4 separate regions of the Mus musculus genome follow, and regions 1, 2 and 3 are each reported to be linked to region 4. The links are microRNA targets in miRTarBase. Many come from high-throughput screens and were not tested one by one. Region 4 holds a microRNA gene; each other region holds the end of a gene's coding sequence.

Region 1 (3,184 bases), not on the chromosome of region 4:
GCAGAAGTGCCAAGAAGCTGCAAGAACACCACCAGAAGTTCTTTGGTGTGTTTCTCTCTGTGAAGTCATGACAAAGACCAGCAAGGAGTAGCAAGGCGAACCAATACCACACAGTGTTGTTCACTGTTGGGATGTATTTATACCTTCTCCAAACATCACATGTTCTCTCAAGCATCTGCTCTAGCAAAACATCATATACCCCTTTCCAGGCAGCTTCCAGAAAATCATCACATATCTGTTCTCAGCAAAACATCTTCTACGTGTCTGCTTCAGCAAAAACATCCTCTGATAAGACAGTTTCCAGAAAAGCATTACATGACACAACTGAGTCTCCGAAGAAACCAGACATTTCCACTTCAGCTCTTTGAATCTGACACACTTGAAGCCTACCTCAAGGTATGTCAAGTCCCTGCAGATGAGTTAACCAGAGACGCTATCAATCACCACCTTTGCTTTCTGGGGTTTGGGGGAGCACCTGAGAGTAAAATAGTCATTGTGTTTACCTCAAGCATCTCTAAAGCTCTCAACACTTATTTTTGAAGAACAATATTTCCCTGCATCACTATGGCACTAACTAAAAATCAACACTCACATAAGTATTTTCATATTTGGGGGCTCCCATTCATTTTTCTTTGACCTAATGTCTTATCTCATCCTTGAAAATGTAAATGTCATTACATGGCTCATCCTGCAAATTATCATTGCAATAGTACTATCCCCATTTCCCTTTTCCTTTATTTTTCTAAAGGAAGCTCAAGGACAATTTTATCAGAGTTTACAGCAAACTGGTACAAAGGAGATGAAAACTCTGGCATGCAAAAGGAAAAGATGAAGAAAACACCATGACTTTTACATTAGATATGGAGTAGAAATAGGTGGCGCACACCTTTAATCACAGCACTTTGGAGGCAGAGGCAGGAGGATTTCTGAGTTCAAGGTCATCCTGGTCTACAGAGTGAGTTCCAGGACAGCCAGGGCTACACATAGAAACCTTGTCTCAAAGGAGAGAGAGAGAGAGAGAGAGAGAGAGAGAGAGAGAGAGAGAGAGAGAGAGAGAGAGAGCGCCTTTTAAGAAAGGAAAAAGCTCTCCCAAGAATGTGAGGATGCTAGTAAGCTGAGGAAAGAGTCTGAAGTCCTTTCCCCTACTTAAAACAATTGTATTTGTTTTTGTTGTTTATTCTTCTCTCATATATAACATCCTGACTGTGATTCCTTCTCTCCTCTTCTCCCAGCCCCCACTTATCTCCCCTCTCCTCCAGATCCACTCCTCTTTTATTTCAGAAAAGAGCAGACCTCCCAAGGATATCAACCAAACATGGCAAAATAAGATGCCGTGAGACTAGGCACATCTCTTCATATCAAGGCTGGGCAAGGCAACCCAGTAGGAGGAAAAGGGCCCCAAAAGCAGGAAAAAGAACCAGCAGCAGCCACTGCACCTATTGTTAGGAGCATCACAAGAACACCAAGCTACTCAACTGTAAAATATAGGCAGAGGACCTCGGTCAGATCCATGTAGTCTTCCTGATCCTCCCTTCAGTCTCTGTGAACCCCTATGAGCCCAGCTTATTTGATTCTGTGGGCTTTGTTCATACAGTGTCCTTGTCCTTGACCCTTCTGGCTTCTATAAACCTTCCTCCTCCCTTTCAGGAGATTTACTGTGCTTCTCCTAAAGTTTAGCTGTGGGTCTCTGTGTCTGCTCCTATCAATTGCTGGATGAAGCCTCTCTGATAATGATGATGCTAGGCTCCAGTCTACAGGTATCATTAGGAATCATTTCATACACTTTTTTCTCAGTTGTGTTTATATTTCCACTATTTTAAGAAATATGTAAGATTGCTACATAAGATTGGTGCCATCTTGCTTTTCAATAGACTGCCTGGTGGGCTTATCAGCCATCAGTTTTTTGTTTGCTTGCTTGTTTTTTGTTTTTTGGTCTATACTGATTATTTCCTTGATGCAAAGCTAATAGCTTTTCCATTCCACCCTCCCCATTCTCTTTTAGAAAGGTTTCACTTAATTATTTCTAAGACTTCCTTTGCAAACAGAGGAAAAATAAAGTGTTAGCATGGGCTTATACATTTGGGTTTTAGTTATTGCCTAATACTACATTATCTTAATTTTTAATTTTAAGAGATTGTAACAAAATTCCATAATTTCTCCTTTCCTTTTCCTTCCCTCAAATTCTCCTATGCCTCACTTCTAGCTCTCTTTCAAAATCATGGCTTTTAAAATTAATGATATTAGATGAGTATATGTATATACTTATATTTTGCTAAATATAGCCTTTTCTGTTTGTAAATGTTACTTATATGTATGTTTATGTTTTAGGAGTATCGCTGCATTCCTGCCATCCTTATCCTGCTCCACCTGAGCGGGGGATCCAATGCACTTTTCTGGGGAAATCGGCAGTGAAGTTGAAGATGTGTGCTATCCCTCGGGCTAGGCAAGCACTCTACCACTGCTTACCCCCAGCCAGCCACATCACTGCCATTATTGAATTTCATGTTCGAATTGCCACATACATGATCAAGGAAGTCGCTATAAACTGTATTCTGAGCCAAAGGTGAACTCATTGCTTATGAAATGACATTACTTCTAGACTTTTGCAGGATCCACAAAATTACACACACACACACACACACACACACACACACATATACACTATACAGAACTATACACACATTAGCGGATAATTATGATTCTTTCCCATCTTCTACACTGCACACTCCAGAATCCTGCTATATACACAAACAATCTTTCATTTGTCTGTTTAAAGATAATTATATACATTCATCTGTATAGGCCCTCTCTCTCTGTCCTCTTTCTGCTGACTCTGCTTTGGCTGCAGGAGAGCAAAGCGCTGTCCAGGAGTTCAGGACAGTGCTTGGACCTGGCCTTGAGGTCAGGACACTGCCTCATTAACAGCCCAGGCGGGGTCCAGAGGCTCATAGGGCTGTAGCCAGTTGTCGTTGTCGTTCTCTTCGAGGACCTGTGGCCCTCTAACCGGCAAAGAGCAGATGGTCATAGGATCCGGATGTTCACTGCCGTCGTGAGCTCGGGGCCTTAAGTAGGCGCGGAGCGCCCCTGAGAAAGTGTCGGTGAAGCTGAAGATGTGCGAGCCATCAGACACGTTGAAGAAAGACAGCTTCCCGGCCTCGTAGTCCAACAGGACGCCTATCCTCCG
Region 2 (3,160 bases), not on the chromosome of region 4:
TACATTATATTTCACTACAACATAAAATAGTTAAAGAAACAAGGAACTGAGTTCTTAATTAAATGTTTGAAACATATTTGGTTCACATATTGGGAAATGTTCACATATTTGAACATGCAAATAAATTTTATGACTCTCCACATAAAGATACAGAAAAAAAAACCATTTATCTGAATTGTCAATATTTATCTGAATTGTCAATATTTATCTGAATTGTCAATTTAGTCGTAAAGCCAAATCAATGCTATTATAATAATTTCTGCTATTATAATAATTTCTGCTATTATAATAATTTCTGCTATTATTATAATTTCCCCTCACTATCAGGAAAAAAGAATCCCACCCATACTCAGGGTTAAGATGTAATTATACGATGCATCATAGCCATCTTAACATTTTTATACACAGTAAATTCCTTCAGTTTAGATTACCTTCAAAAACAGAACTGAACCCACAGAAGTATACAGTATATCAAAAGGACAAGGCCAATAACACAAAATGATTTTATTTTTGTCACTGGTGACAAACATGTATCGCTGGTTTCTTAAATATTACTTATGTACTCATTAAAAATATGTTTACATCTAAAAATGTGACACAATTAGGAAGTTCTCTCTAAACATAATCTTTCCTAAATATAATTTCCTAGTTTGTTTCACACATAACTTAATCTACAAAATCAAAAATAAAACTACCAACCAACTCTGTGGTCTAGAAATACATACAAACTGTGAAATCTGAGAAAGTACTTTCTGATTTTAAAAATAATATACAATATATGCATATCACTAATCAAATGGTTCTTACAAGTTCTTACTGTCTCCCAACTTGGAAGAGATGCCTGTAATAGACCTTTCAATTTACTTAGTAAAGATGCCATACATGTAAAAAGTCAAAACAATCACAATCAAGATTTTGTCTGTAGAGATCAGGTCTCACTTTGTTGCCTAAGCAGCGTACGCTGGCCTGCGAGTCACCGTTCCTCGGCCTCAGCCTCTGACAGCAGGGACTACTGACCAGCAGACGAGATGAGTCTCAGAGCAGAGGAAACAGCTACTTCATTACTAAGTGGCTTAAAACCACCTTGGCTTCTCTGAAATAAAAAAGGGTTGGCATGGAATCAAACTTAAAATTTAAGAATCAAGACAGGCGGTGGTGGCGCATGCCTTTACTCCCAGCACTTGGGAGGCAGAGGCAGGTGGATTTCTGAGTTCAAGGCCAGCCTGGTCTACAGAATGAGTTCCAGGACAGCCAGGGCTACACAGAGAAACCCTGTCTTGAAAAACAAAACAAAACAAAACAAAAACAATTTAAGAATCAAAAAATTCAGATTAAATACACACTGAGCTCATGAAAATATCCCACTGAGATTCTGTAACAGGGGCAGAAGCAACTCCATCCAGCTTTTCAAATTTATCTTTGACCATCATTTTAATGAGTTAAAAGCTTTAATGGTAAAAATTACAAACATTTTCTGCAAATAATACTGGTACATATTTCATTAGTTTTTGTTGAACAACTGGAAATCCTACTTCTTTAGAAAACATGAATTAATCTGTTGAAATACACCACCTATGTACTGACTTAATAGCCACTCAAGATTCGCTAGTAAGCTTATTGTTTTTATGCAATAACATTAAAAAGGAATTTTGTATGTTTGCTGTTTTCACTTCATACATTATTTTGTGGACCTTTATGTGGTTATAAGATTTACAGAGAAATGCATTTCAGCTGTTCTTATTAGATTTTAATGGTTCAAACTACAAATAATGCTAAGTCAAGCCCTGGCATTCCTTTTTAAAAATCCAAGTTTCTAAAAGTTCTAAGTTTTCGGCAATATAAAAATGATCTTCTTTACACCTTTAACTGCCAAAAACTGGGTAAAAAACAAAATATTCTGTTAAGGAGATGATTTGAGATGTTTTGGATCCTATTTTTAAAAACAAGATGTGAAACAGAAAACTTCACAAACAGCAGCTCAAATTCCATTAACTTACAGCTCAATGGAACACACAGCCAGTTTTTATGCTTAAACAATTCAAAATTAAGGTTTATATTGGTAATGTCAACAAGTCATAACTACTACACATCACCTCTGATACAACCCACTAACTTCAAACAGGCTCAGCAGCTGTGCATGTCGGGTAGATGCTGTTTAGAAACTCACAGCTAGCAGAGCTATAAATATACATAAATAAGTGTGGCAACACTCTGGAGTTGGGGCCATTACAACAAGACGTGATGTAAACACACGTGCTGATTCTCGCTCAAGCCACTTCCCACTGACATGCTCAGCCATGGTTTTATAATTCTTTGTAAAAGAAAACATTTTCTACTCAGCATGCAGCATTGTCATTTTATATCTTGACTATGATGGAATCTTCAAATTTTCTTGCTAAGCTTGACATATCTCATCAGGAATTCTCTGGAAGTCAGCTTGTGTTTTCAGCAGCCTAGACAAAACAAGAGAGCAAGATCCATTATTTTAAGAAACCATAGTTAAGACAACCATGGAGGTAAATCTACCTATACCATATTTAACAAACAGCTAGTTATTCCACATCACAACTCAATTGGTTTTACTGGAAAAATACAATGATTTTTATTTTTTGTTGTATTATCAGATATTTTAAATTTACTGCCAGATTATAAAAAGAAGGAGTCATTTATATAATAGAGATCATGTAAAATGTACTACTTCTTTAAGAGTTAACACATAACTTGTTTTCCAAGGTCTTCATTAGTTTTTTTTTACTATAGTGTAAAGACAGAATTAATAATGAGAAAGACCTAGTAAGCTACAAATAAAGAATACCAGCAAACAGGGAAGATATTTGTAATTTTTCTTCTTTTTATTTCTTTTTTATTTTTGCTAAAAGGTATTTATGGTATTTTACTTAAAAACAGAAATAATTTTATTGTAATGAACTCAGAAATAGAGAAATCACGCTTGAACTCGCAGTCCCAAGCTGCACATAGTTCACTGACACAGCCAGCCATGCAGCTTCATTCAGTGCTTTACCTTCAGTACCAATTACATTTTATGTTCTGATGCAGACGCACAGACGGAGCGGAGACAGCATGACAGTTAAAACTAGAGAAACAATGAGCTCTGTATTTTCAGGACTCGCTGACATCACCCAGGATCACCCTTCTTGGT
Region 3 (3,184 bases), not on the chromosome of region 4:
CGGATGGTTGTGAGCCACCATGTGGTTGCTGGGATTTGAACTCAGGACCTTCAGAAGAGCAGTCAGTGCTCATAACCACTGAGCCATCTCTCCAGCCCTGAGCACTGGGTATATTCATGTCTGACCTTGGTTTCCCTAGTTTACAGTACTCAGTCAAAACACATATTGGGTATTGTTTCCTGGGCCCCAACATCACAAGTGTCAAAGACCCTCTCCGAGAATGGTTGTCCTATCTTCTAGAACTTTCTCAACTTTCCTAATACTGCAATCCTTTAATACAGTTCCTCATGCTGTGCCTACCCCCTCCTACAAAATTATTTTGTTCCTACTGCATAAATATAATTTTGTTATGAGTCATAATGTAAATATCTGATATAAGACGCCCATTTTCACAGGTCATTTGACCTTCAAGGAGGTCATGAGCCACAGATTGAGAACGGCTGTTCTAGAAGTAAGCACTGGTCAAATGGCACATGCTTGCACACACGTGTGCACGAGGTTGGAGAGCACAGAGCAGGGCAGACGTCCCTGGGCACCCGGCGGCACATGTCCAGACTCTCTCTGATGAGGCTTCCTTGCCCTGCAGAAAGCCTGTTGGCCAGTGTCAATTATGACACCCCAGCAAGACACTCAGGCACTGCTTTGCCCTCAAAGTGGTTAGACTCGAGGCCAGAGAGACAAGTCAGTGGCTAAGGGCACTTGTTGCTCTTGCAGTTGCTCTTGCAGTTGCTCTTGCAGGACCCAGGGTTTGATTCCCAGCACCCACGTGGCAGCTCACAACCGTGTGTAACTCCAATTTCAGAGAATCTTTATGGCCTTTATGGCCTCCACAGGTACCAGGCATACATGTGGTGTACAGACATACATGTACTTAAAATTTTTAAAATATATATGCATTTTTAAAGTGCTTCCAAATTTCCAAGGTACCTAGCCTCTTGCCCTGTTCCATTTTTGTTCCTTGGGCTGCCATAAACATGGTCCTGAGTCTCTCTCACCCACAGACAGCATACCTCCAAACTCTGAGTTAACTTCTTAAAAATCCCCTCAACAGAATGCTAAGTGTCACACCCCAGCCTTCTGCCAAAATGGGGTTGGCACCCAGCACTCTGTGACTTAGTGTTTCATAACAAACTAATCCTTGCCCTTAGTGAAATAAACAGTAAACATTTGGTCTCTAGCACGGCCCTTCCCTTCCAGGTCTTCTATGAGACTCTTATCTACCTAACACAGTGGCCGTGGGTGGAAGATGGCTTCCACGGTGGTTCACGAAGGTCGAAAATTAGTGTATGGTGATTGTAGTAGACAGTGGGGTAGCCTCCTCTACCTGTGAAAGTCTCCACAGGTATGCTTGAGTTTTCTCTGGCTGTAGTGGCCAGATTCTGGCAGAGAGAGCAATCCAAAAGACCAAGACAGAAGCAGCAATACCTATTCTAATCTGCACTCAGAAGTCACACTATGTCCCTCTGCCATTTCTTTGGGTCTGCCCACCAGCTGTAACTGGAAGAGACTGTACAAGTGCACAAAGGCCAGGTGATGAGGACATTAGGCTCTGCTGCAAGCCGCCTACCATACCCTTTCACACTCCAAAGGTATACTCTTCTCCCTATCAGGCTGAGCTAAGAAAAAAAGAAAGCTCAGAACATCTAGATTAATTCAGTAAAAACAAAACAAACAAGTACCTCACAGTACTTCTTTTGGGGGGAAGTTTGAACCCGGGTACTTGGCCTTGCAGAGCACAACACTCTCACTGTGCTAGATCCTCCGCTCTTCTTGAGGAGACTCCTTTAAAACTGTGACTATGAAGCTGGAGAGATGGATGGTTGTTGAGTGGCTAAGAGCACCCACCTACACTGCTCTTCCAAACGACCTAGGTTCGATCCCAGCACCTACATGGCAACTAACAACTGTAATTCTAGTTCCAGGGGATTTGATCCCTTCTTCTGAACTCCTCAGGCAAGCATGTGGTACACATATATACATGCAGGCAAAACAATCATACACATAAAATAAACTAGTTAAAACTAGATAAGTCATCTGACCCTCAACTCTAAATGCATGGGTCCAGCATTCTCCCAAAGGGAAAGCAGGCCTCACCTTTCCATTCTTAGACCTCACTCTACACAATAATCAGAGAACACAGCTATGGAGATGCCTGTTAAAAGTTCACGTTTACATTAGAATTTATAATTCAGTAAAAACCTAAGGTGAGCCATTAAAAGAATCGTGTCATATTTATTTTAGAATGGTTTAAATCAAATACATTTGGGCACAGTAGATATTTGACATGAAAAGCAGTTGTATCAGAATGGTCATCAGAAAAATAGTAACATTTTACACATAATAACTAGAAAATATTTTCTGTCTGATCACTTGAGTTAGAAATCCTGAGAATGTTACTCATTGAACAATTAGAATCTACCTCATAACTGAAATTTGCTCAGAAAGAATCCTCTTAAAAGATGCTCTGAAGGCCAGGCAGTGGTGGTGTACACCTTTAATCCCAGCATTTGGGAGACAGAGCCAGGTGGATCTCTGAGTTCAAGGCCAGCCTGGTCAACAGAACAAGTTCCAGGACAGCCAGGGCCACACAGAGAAACCTTGTCTCGAAAAAACAAAAAACAAAAAAAGCTCTGAGGTACAAATCACCTATCTAGTCAACATGTGTCCTCTACATCTTACAAAGGATTGAAACTAGCAGATCCAACACTTCTAAGCCACTGGCTCTTAGGGAGGGGTCAGTCCGGCTCGAGGACGCACTGTTCCACGATTTCCCGAAGGTTGGGGTTCTCCATTGCAGCTGCCACTCGCTCTTTGTCATTTATCTGCTTGTTGACTGCAAAACACAAGGACAAAAGTTAACAGAACTGTGCTGACAGAGAGGTCAGTCAGCAGCATTTTTCCAGCCTGCTAAAGCAAAGCATTTAACTCCTTGAGAACTTACAGCTAACTCATCATACAGTTTATTAAGATTTTTTTCCCTTGGGCATACACACACACACACACACACACACACACACATGCACTGCTCACAAGTGTATATGGAGGCCAGAATAGGGCACTGGATCCCCTGGGGCTGAAGCTCTGAGTGATTGTGAGCTGCCTGATGTGGGTCCTGGACACTGAACCCCAGTCCTTGGGAAGAACAGCAAGTGCTTTTAACTAATCCATCCTAATGCAATGACTA
Region 4 (3,184 bases):
TTATCCTCCACATAACAGGTGCTCAAATAAGATTTGTTGCTTCATTTATTTTTTCAACAAATACTTATTGAGGACCTGCTATATGCCAGGCATGAAGAAATATAACGTGTTCTATGTATCCTGACATTGTCTTTAAAAAGTTCGACCATATTTTTCAATATGACATAGAAGTTTCAATATTTCTAAAAAGTAATTACTAAATCATTTTCTTTATAAACCTCCTTTTATCTCTACTTTGTTCTTAGTTGTATCTAAATATAGAGCTGTTGTGTTTCTGACCTATAATGTGTTTTATTCTGGCTCTTCAATTAGACTTTTTAATACATATTTAGTTTGGCTTTGCTTCCTTACATAAACAAGGAGATGCCAAAACAAGAACAAGTACGTTTTAATTATAAGTATTAAATGTGCAAGGATTGCTATGCTTTCAAATCAAGCTAAATCATTCTACTACTCTAGAAAAGTCTTCTATTTAAAATGAATGACATATATCTATTCAGAATATTTTCAATAATAAGTTTCAAATGTAAGAATGAGGTGAGCATCAGGTGACATATTTATTAATATCCCATTAATAATGTAAAACATCTGCATCTAATGTGTCATCAATGTAATTTTTGACACATGGTCATAATATATTTGAAACAAAAGTTTTATGTTGTTGAATCAATGGGATATTTGAGGAAATTGTCTTTCTTTTACTTTGATGCATGTGAATGCTTTGCCTGCGTATATAAGTGCACCACATGCATGCAGTGCCCAAGGAGGCCATCAGAGGGTGTTAGATTCACTGAAGGTGGAGTTAAAAAACACTTGTAAACCAAATTTTGGGTGCTGGGAATTGAACCTTGGTCCTCTGCCAGAGCAACAAGTACTCCTAACTGCTAAGCCATTTCTCTAGCATCTGAATTATTGTTTATAATTCTACTAAAAAGCTAACTTTGACTCTGTGTGAAATTTTAACAATCTATGTAAAGAAGAATATCAAGTAACAAATAAAAATAGAATCAATATGGAAGTTCAAGTAGTGTGTTTTTGAATCTAGGTTGTGGTGTTTGGAGACAGGATTAGTAAAAACCTTTAAATGGATGGTTAGTTAATTAATCTGTACCAAATACAAAGTTATCCTATAAGAATTCGTGGTTTATTCTTCTGGATGTCTTCCAATCTCTATCAAGTTCTCACTGCATGTTCTGTGTATTAAATAAAAATCTACACAGCCCATGCAATGAGCACATCCTAGAGACTAATATGCTTGTGATATGTAGTTCAATAGTTGTTAAGGGGTCATCAGCTTGTTAAGTTAAAAAATATTAAGTATATTTGAAATATTAGTTGGCAAAGTGGAAAACTTAACCAAAGAATTATGGAATATTGGAAATTGAAGAACCAATAGATTAGCAATCTGTCACCCTCTACCATTGCACTACATACTCTTTCAAACCATATAAAGAAAACAAATAGCTACCACAAATAAAGGTTGATATTTGAGAACCTCCTGAGATAACATAAAAATTTATAAACTCAAATAGAAAAGGTCATTGTTCACTACATCCAAACTAAATTCCCTACTCTGGTTAGTGATCCTGTAGATAGATGGTTTTATGAGAAAAAAAAATATTGGACATAGGAAGAAGGAAAACCTGGATTACATGTTATATTTCTCTGAATTTGTACAAATTAGTTCAATCTCTGGGTCTCAGTTTATACCTATTAAACAGGGACATCAGTAACTAAATTTGCTATTTTTTTTTCAAAAGATAAAAGACTTTAATAGGTCAAAGATCTCTGTCAATTATAAAAAGTTAAGTAAAACTGGTTCTTGGTCTTACCTGAATCAACGTATTTTCCTCATAGGTCTTGTTTTTTAATATTTTTTGTGCTGTTTTTTTTTCCTGAAATGTTCCCAACAACTTTTATGTTATTTTTCAGTTCCATGACCCTGAATTAAATGTTAGACTTTATGGAGTAGCTATGTGATGACTAATTACCTATTTTTTTTTTTAATGAACAAGTTTCTTGCAATGCAGTTGTCTGGAAACAACTAAAGTCCTGGCTACAATCAAATTTAGAATAAATAGGCAGGACAGGGAGAGAGTTAATAAGGAAGTGAACAAATGCACAAGATAATTGCAGAAGAATAATGCTGTAAAAATACAACAGAGCCAAGTAAAATAAGAGACAGAGTTTAAATAGTGAGGGTTGCTGGTGTATGTATCATGGGAGATTAATGAAACAGTCACACATAACCTGGGACTTAAAGAATGAGGAGCATCTAGGCAACTGAAATAATACTGTTACAAAGAGAACATCAAGAGCATGTGACTTCAAACTGGGTGTGAATTACTATGGCTGGGGAAAGGAAAATGCCTGAGGTCCTATCGCTGAGCCCTAAATACTGCACAGTTGTAAATATGGAATGGTGTGCTAAGACAAGTAAACAAATCTTCACTGATGGTTTGGTGGAGTTGTTTTTTGAATCTTATAAATATGTTCAACATAGCATCACCAGGAGCCTTAATATTTACTTGCTAAATGATCTGCAAAATGAACTTGGGTTTGAAAAATATTTTGGTTTAGTCCCTATCATTCTAAAGACCAACTATGGATTATATTTAAATGAAACAATTTGGGGAAAATAGAAGACTACAATGCTTTGCTTCTTAGTTGATGTATTAGTATTCTTTTAGAGCCAAGATTTGTTAACATTGAAAGAGTTGAAATTGACATACATTAAGCTATAAATTATCACTTTAATAAACTCCCTTGATATGTGATAGTCTCCACTTTCATATTAGAAAAGGCAGAATTGCAAAGTATTATTTGAAAGAGCTTTCATGATTTAATGGATATGCCATTCATATCTCTGAAAATTAGCACAGCTTAATCATGATAAAATACTAATAATATAGCTTACATGTTTTGTAATGGAAAATGAAGCATTTCTCTACAGTGTCACCTTTCAGACAAACTACTCCAAATATGTGGTGCGTTGGCATTGGAATACATGGCAAAGGAAGAATGGTCACTTTCCTGACCCCCCTCCTCACTCATAATACTAAAGATGGAAATATGGAAATCAAAGTTTCTTGTAAGCCTTCTACTATTGAGTTACGGTATAATGATTCCTTTCACTTTGTAATAACTCATGCAATAGATACCTCTGCCATGAAGAAAAGGAGGA

What was found. Region 4 holds the annotated microRNA mmu-miR-1912-3p (CACAGAACAUGCAGUGAGAACU, at 1,177-1,198, opposite strand). A microRNA usually pairs through its seed, bases 2 to 8, with sites in the 3' UTR of a target mRNA and lowers its output. Matches are read on the target gene's strand: a 7mer-m8 pairs with bases 2 to 8, a 7mer-A1 pairs with bases 2 to 7 and ends in A, and an 8mer does both.
Region 1: miRTarBase lists Btnl9 as a target of mmu-miR-1912-3p. Seed matches in the 3' UTR shown: 8mer at 2,665-2,672.
Region 2: the mRNA of Mzt1 is a reported target of mmu-miR-1912-3p. Seed matches in the 3' UTR shown: 7mer-A1 at 1,230-1,236.
Region 3: the mRNA of Ciao2a is a reported target of mmu-miR-1912-3p. Seed matches in the 3' UTR shown: 7mer-m8 at 2,557-2,563.

What each region holds. Positions count from the first base shown.
Region 1 is chr11:49,166,152-49,169,335 of GRCm38, forward strand. It overlaps Btnl9 (butyrophilin-like 9), which reads right to left. Exons shown (of 10, transcript NM_172793.2): 10 at 2,174-3,184. The coding sequence ends at 2,903. Among named protein-coding and RNA genes, the nearest start is that of Olfr1394, 7.7 kb to the left of the region's middle.
Region 2 is chr14:99,034,058-99,037,217 of GRCm38, forward strand. Mzt1 (mitotic spindle organizing protein 1) reads right to left here. Exons shown (of 3, transcript NM_175245.4): 3 at 487-2,453. The coding sequence ends at 2,433. Among named protein-coding and RNA genes, the nearest start is that of Mzt1, 10 kb to the right of the region's middle.
Region 3 is chr9:66,137,986-66,141,169 of GRCm38, reverse strand. Ciao2a (cytosolic iron-sulfur assembly component 2A) reads right to left here. Exons shown (of 5, transcript NM_026635.3): 5 at 2,202-2,833. The coding sequence ends at 2,736. Among named protein-coding and RNA genes, the nearest start is that of Ciao2a, 13 kb to the right of the region's middle.
Region 4 is chrX:147,007,507-147,010,690 of GRCm38, reverse strand. Mir1912 (microRNA 1912) reads right to left here and starts at 1,250; the gene lies at 1,164-1,250. The region is part of intron 2 of Htr2c (5-hydroxytryptamine (serotonin) receptor 2C); the gene reads right to left. It overlaps Mir1264 (microRNA 1264), which reads right to left and starts at 90; the gene lies at 5-90.